Nothobranchius furzeri: one gene and its partner. The protein of the gene in region 1 binds, or shares a complex with, the protein of each later gene. Links are inferred from orthologs where the notes say so. Each region holds a gene or a part of one and is shown on either strand. Other genes may lie near its edges.

The links.
Region 2: tbl1x (region 1) and gps2 share a complex: the UniProt entries of both Homo sapiens proteins name them as parts of the N-Cor repressor complex. The link is inferred for Nothobranchius furzeri from reciprocal best matches to the Homo sapiens genes TBL1X and GPS2.

Annotation. Positions count from the first base shown.
Region 1 is NC_091754.1:23,372,953-23,376,706, forward strand, and holds the start of tbl1x (F-box-like/WD repeat-containing protein TBL1X), read right to left. Parts: upstream 2,918-3,754; 5' UTR 2,777-2,917; intron 1-2,776. UniProt on the Homo sapiens protein: F-box-like protein involved in the recruitment of the ubiquitin/19S proteasome complex to nuclear receptor-regulated transcription units. Plays an essential role in transcription activation mediated by nuclear receptors.
Region 2 is NC_091742.1:53,242,055-53,245,335, forward strand, and holds the end of gps2 (G protein pathway suppressor 2), read left to right. Parts: intron 1-1,530; coding exon 1,531-1,620; intron 1,621-2,169; coding exon 2,170-2,262; 3' UTR 2,263-2,685; downstream 2,686-3,281. UniProt on the Homo sapiens protein: Key regulator of inflammation, lipid metabolism and mitochondrion homeostasis that acts by inhibiting the activity of the ubiquitin-conjugating enzyme UBE2N/Ubc13, thereby inhibiting 'Lys-63'-linked ubiquitination.

The DNA of each region.
Region 1 (3,754 bases):
ATTTGTTTTGATACAAATAAGGTCACACTATTTTTCACGCAATGACAAAACACTTCCAAACCAAATCAAAAATATAAGCAATGCATAACTGTGGCCTTCAACCAGCCACTACTTGTATGGGCGTAATTTCAGAGTAACCACTCATGTGCCAGTTGGCTGGTTGCCCATGAACACTGCACACCTCTTTGAGGGGGGTGGAGAAAGGCTCACCTCCCCCCAACGGCCTATCATAAATAAATACTGCTACAGAAATATTTGGATGGCTCAGAACAGAGCATTGTTGCACCACAAGACTGACAAAGGCTTTCTTGGGGACTTCTTTGCCCTACTTTTCCGCAGAAGTTGGCTTTCTGCTTTTAACACAAACTCCCATACAGCTCAGTTCTGCTTCCTTGCAATCAATAGATTTTAATGGCTTTTTTTTAAAACTGTGTAAGGCTGGACAATGTTTTTATATTAAACTGTACACCACAGAAAACAACAACCCCCCAACTAAATTGGCCTTTTGTCTTCAGTAGAAAAAGGTACTATATGCACAAGAGCTGTGTCAAATGACTGCAGTAGTGAAGACATTTATCAGCTCCAGCTCCATCTGACAGCGATTGAAACACGACACCCAGACAGACATCTGGGTCATCTCAACCACAAATTTCATCTGCTCTCATTCAAGCAGGCTAGGAACATAATTCAGACCCACTGAGCATAAAGAAACTAACATAAGATGGGTGTACACTGTGCAATTTCAAGCCTTCCTAAACAAAAAGGTCACCAACAGGAATGAATCATGGCGATACAATTTGGTTGTCCTTTAGGAATGGTAGTGCTCAGCGTACAGTTAACACAATTCAAGAAAACTAAAAGATGTCCAAAATGGAGCATGACCAACGCAATTAGTTAGACCCCACTTTTGAAAACTAACCAATGGAAACATGAAATTCTCCACACAACACTGGTACAAAAGAAGGAACTGCTGTAATATGTAAATAAGCAGCATGATGCTGATTGCTTGAGTGTTTACAGAAACAATAAAGGTTACTAGCCAAAGGTAATAAAGATAAGTTAGGCAAAATGCCTCACAAATGCCCCTGGCTACTCCCGATTGTAAGAACAAAGAGGATGGTGTAACATTTTAAAGGGATAGTTTACATCTTTCAAACTGAGGTGATGTACAAATGTTATGAACAGTCAATATCTTACCTGCGCAAGATAATTCTAACCAACCTGAGAATGAGTTGAATTCACCTCTAATAAGTTTTTTTAAGTGGTTGATACAAACTTTTCTAAACCTTTACATCACCATCAATGTTGCATCACATGATCATTCTGGCATAAATATGAATATCATGCATCAAACAGGAAGTGCTACAAATAGTTAATTCCACTACTACTTTCAGGTGCATATAAGTAGAATTTTAATTAGCAATGGAAGTAATTCGTTATCAGCCCAAAAACACTATCGGTTTATATCGGACTGCACCAAAAATCTCCGATATAAGCAGTCCGTTAAGGTTCACATTTTTGCAACCAACAGTTTTCATACTCTTGTTCTCCGATTGAGTAATATCACATGATTAAGCCTTTCATATATTCCACACCATGAAATAGGTAAAAGATAAGTATGATTGGTGCTGATATCGGATCGGATTGATATCGGCATTGGTCAATACTGAAGGCTGCAATATCGGTATTGTATCGGAGGTAAAAAAGTTGTATCGGGACATCCCTAGTTTTAATTACTAGTGGTTTGTTAAATCGTATGTATGGGAAACCAACGGGTCTCCTTACTAAAGATGGACAGCTGATTGGTCACTTGGGTCAGGTTTTGACTGCATAAAAATGTAAAATGAAAAGGTGCAATACAATATTGCACATATATTGCACACAACTATTGAGAAAAGGCTGAACATAGTCAAGTGAAAAAAAATACATTAGACATTGATCATTATTGGGGAGGACCCCCCCTCCACTGCCATAAGGCAGTTTGGATCTCCCCCCCCCCCCCCCCCCAGTCAAGCCATTTGTTTCCCCCCACTTTTGAAATCAACAACACATCCTTGTGTATGACTAAATAAGCAGTTATATTTTGGATTACTGGGATAGTGCGGTTAAAACAAACAACACACTGTGCTAATGCCTCAATTAGCAAACTGAGAATTTAAGGCCATGTTGGACCTGATTTTAAAGGTGTAAGTCCATTCCTCCATTACTTTATTAATGTATACGCTTTTATATCACGCCAGGTTTGTTATAAACTCGTGTCTGGGCCAAACTGTTACAGCAGCTTGACAGGTACAGCTCAACATTGTAGTTATACAGTAACACAAGTCGTTCCCTTCCCCCACACACACATGCGCTTCCTAACTCAACATGACCATTTTAAATGCTTTCATTCAAATAGAAGCCTAAAACAACAACATATGCAACTGCATGTGCTGGTTGATGACATTATTACAAATGTGGACAAAATAGATGAAACTACTACTTGGAAAAGAGGGACAACATATCAAAAGTGTATTTCGTCAAGCACTCCAAAGACTCATTGCATAATTTGAGCATTTAAAAAAAGTGGCAGAAAAAGTTGGGCTTTGCAACAATGTAGGAGAAAATTAAAAGACGCAATTAGGAATTGGAACACACGTGTGGAGTCAGCGCGAGCCGGTTACGCCATAATCCATCTATTTCTGAAAGTCGTTATCTGCTTCGAATAAAGCCCAAACTGGGAGAACGGAACAGTCCGGGTACAGTGCATCGCCGCGCCTCGAGCCTCCGGGCTTACCGTTTCTTACTGTGAGAGTGAACTCGTGGTGTCCGCCGCCACCTCTTCCTCTTCCACAAGGAGAACCTCCAACTTCAGTAAGCGAGAAAACACTTTCCTCCCATCTTGCTTATCGTCATATTTCAAGTTCCGACCGCGCAGTATGACTCACTGTCGGCTTATTTTTGCTGTGCCACCAGAGCGTGTTCGCCCCAGACACCGTCACAACTGGCGGACACGAGAGGAGGAATAAAAAAAAAAGTTGGAACCAGCCCGAGTTTCTGTGGCTGTGGGGCGCAGGCTGTTCCGTGGAGTTTCACCGTTCACTGAGAACCGGGAGCGGAGAGAGACACTCAGCAGCGCGAGACTCGCACGAGAGGGGGGGAGGTGGGGTGAAGGCTGCTTGACCTTAAACCTGGATACTCTACACGGAATTTTCTTTAATTACTGACTTAATTAGCTAAACTGGGCCACCACACGCCATGATATAATAACGTGTTTCTTTAATCATTCGTTTTGTAAAGCAAACACGCAACTATAGCATTTTTTATCACTCAGTTCTATAATTAGGGTTTATATTTAACCAGTAAACTACATTTCCTATTGCTTATGGTATCAAGTTGCTACATATTATTGTATTGCTTTCGTGTGTTGTTTTGTAGTTTAAGCACACTGCTGAGTACACTCCAGCATGCTGGCCTGCTTTAAGCCACTTCCCTTCCCCCACAACGCTATTTTTCGCCTGCCTGGTCACACAGTGGTTGATTAATTCTCCTTTCGCCTTGCTCAGTCATTCAGATTTGGAAAGTAAATAACAAGTTGACATCAGTGTGACACATTCCTTTGGTTACCGTACACACTGTAGAATCTGCGCAATACTTATTTTGCAAACAATGACAGCATTTTGATTTGGTACAGTGTGTAATCATGGGCAGATTACTGAGTGGGCTCACCATGCAAACTATTTGGAGGCCGATGCACAATGAAAACGCCATGAAA
Region 2 (3,281 bases), on another chromosome or scaffold:
TATGAAGCACTTTCCATTATTTACTCAATGCTGGTGATGGTAAACTACTATGTAGCCACAGCTGCCCTGGGGCAGTCTGACAGAGACCAGGCTGCCTTTTTGCGTGATCGACCCCTCTGACCACCACCAACAAAGACAAGTTAAGCCGGGCGTACACTGTGCGACTTTTTCAATTTTTTGAGCCGATTTTCCAGTCGTGCGAGAATCCACGAGATCGGGGCGAGTTTTGCGCCGAGCGTCGTGTAGTGTACAGGGGGTTACGAGAGGCGATTAACACCACGTGACCAGCTACCGATCAGCAGTCGTGAGCTCGCACGGACTTCTGGCGTGTTTAATATTTTGCTCGTCCCTCGTGAGGGTATCGCACTGTTGAAGCGGCGCTGCGAGCAGCTGCAACCCAAAATGTATCAGAACCGCTCACGGCGCATGCGCAATCCTGCATCAACACCGTTCGCTCGCTATTTCCCTAATAACACACGTTGTCCGTTTTAATTTCTACACGTTTTTTACACACAAAGATTGTCAAGAAAGCGTGTTTGTCGTGTTCATGTCAAATTAAACTGATCACAAAACACAGATTTACTTTCTTTATTTCGTTTTCCTCATCCAACCCCCATAAATCCCTGTGCGTCCTCCTGCAGCACTCCTGAAGGACAACAGGCAAAACAAGACAAAAAAGTCTGACGTGTTGTGTAAAAACTGCTATTTTTAGCATATTTTTGGGCCGACCTGTTGCTACCAGACGTACAGTGTGAGCAGTCAGGTCGTATCCGAGAACTGGGTCGTGCAGTGTGAGCGCATGACTCGTGAGATCTGCCCTGCGAGGAAGTCGTACAGTTAGAGCTGAAGCTGAGTGCTACGAGTGAAAAAGTCGCACAGTGTCCGCCTGGCTTTAGGTGACGTGTCTTGCTCAAGGAAACAGCAGCTAAATTCTCTGCGGGGGGGGGGGGGGCATCGATCCTGCAAACCTACAATTACTCGACAACCCCGCTCTACCTCCTGAGCTACTGCTGTTGCCCTAAAAACACCCCAAATGTGAAAAATAAAACCTCCATCCGTTTTCTTTCAGTGTTTGGTTTTAGGAATTATGTGCCTAAAATGAGCTGTTTCCAAAAGTTCACATTTGTGATGTCACAACAGGAAAACCAGAATAGAGCCACTTCTCAGGTGCAAGAGAGAGGTGCTGCGGGGGGATCAGTGGCTCTATTACAAGCCTCCCATGGATGTCGGAGCCTCCCACCTAACCGTAGCTCATCAGGGGGTGGGTGGTCGTGGCCCACTAGCTTGTTTTCTTAAAGTGACAGAGCCCTGAAACGGCTCATTTAGGAAGGAACTGAAACCATCAAGAATAAAACAGCTGAAAGATCTTTATGTGGGAGGGATTTAGTGCAGACCATAGACTATTACACCTTAAGACAGAAGTCACAGTACATCCCCTTCAAACAAGAACGCCGCACTACAGCAGCTTCTCCAACCTGCACTTGAGTTTGCTGTTTAGTGTTTTGGTTCTGTGTCTTGTTGATGTTTCAGGGCGGTTTGAGGCCCATGCACCCCTCAGCCATGCATCCCTCAGCCCAAGGTCTGCTGCCTGCACCTATGGTCCAGATCCCTACTGCTAAGGTGAACCATACAAATATAAACACACGCTTTCCACCACCTGTTTTATGCTTCTTATAATCAGTGATGTAAAAATCAGCAACAATCTGCCCCGCTGTGTCACCTCTCAGCTGGCTAGTGCTGGGTTAACGGTGATGCGGACAGCCCATTAGTAGTGTTTACACAGGACTTTGTTTCTGTTGTAAACATGTGGCTCAGGTTTTGATAGTGATTCACCACCTCTCATTCTTGTTGTAAATATCTCCCTGAACAGCCTCAGTTCAGAGAAATGAAGGTCACACCGGACAGGACCGTTAAGCTAACAGCGAAAGTCTTAAAACCAATATTTCATGTAATGTTTAATCCTCCCACTTAGTCATTTAGATGGAAATCTGTTTCCGCAAGAGCATAAGTAACAGCAGGGATGTCCTGATGTTACCAAAACAAGGCTGTGTTGGAAAACGTACGTGGTAAAGGTTTATGGAGGTCACGCGTCAGTTTTCTGTTGCTGACATGTTTATAAATGAAACATCGCCCTTTTTTTAGGCGGTTTTGTTTTGTGTTTATGACCAGGCCCCCTTCCAGAGCTCTCCGCAGGGCACTCCTCGTCACAGCTTCCTGTCCCACAGCCAGAGCGGGCAGAGGTTTTACCACCATGGCAAGTAGCCCACAGCGCCCTCAGCATCCGCTTCCCGGACACTCTGGAGACGCCGTCGGACCTGGTCTTGATGTTTTAAACCTTTTTGATGTAAAGTTTGTACAGTAGCTTTCATCGCTTCTGGTTTAAAGTCCTCAAACTCGCACTTGTCTTTTTTGTTCTCACTACACTTTTAAATAGTAAATTTGTAAAATAACTGTATTACAGACCCAGAATTTTTAGTTTCTCCATAAATGATTGGAATTAGACCAATGAGACTGGTCCCGCACACATTAACTAGTTAAGCTTAAACACTTTGTCCCAAGTTTTTGTCTGTCCTCGGATGACCTTTTGTAACACGATTTGGAGGAAAACCAGCTGTAGCATAAATAAAGTTGGGTTATTTGGAATTATTCACTTAAATGTTGCTAAATAAACAAATCACTTTTCAACTGTTTTTGCCATTCTTTCCTTTTTATTGTTTGCCCACAGAGACGTCCTGCAAAGTCGGGCCTGGTTAAGTAAACTGCTGCTCTGAAAACAAATCTGTTCCAGGTTGGAGTCATTTCTTCCCAAAGTTTCTGCAAAGAGCTTCCCAGGAGTTGTTTTTGGACACAAAACAAAAGGAAGGTTGCGTTGTTCCGCATAGGCGCCAGGTGATGGAGCTGCTTCAGACCAGGTGTTGTGCAGAAATACGAATCCGCCTGCTGAACAGACCTCCACTGGAGATGAAGCCCTTCATAAATCAGGGATCAATAAAAAGAAAACACTGTCCCTCTTCTTTCTAAAGGTGATCATCTATTTTAAATATGCACACCTGTTCTGGTTTATGATCACGTAGTCGGGACGTGAACTGTGACCGAGCCCACAGGAGGGTCAGAAAACTGGAGAGAATGAAAAAAAAACGCAGACGAGTCATTAGCTCCCTTCGTTTCCATTGGTCTTGATTGCCCCTGAAACAGTTGCAAGGAAGAAAGAGAGAAAAGGGGAGGCGGAGTCAGGAACCATAAACGTATTTATAGGCGAAGAAAAATTACATTTCAGTGTT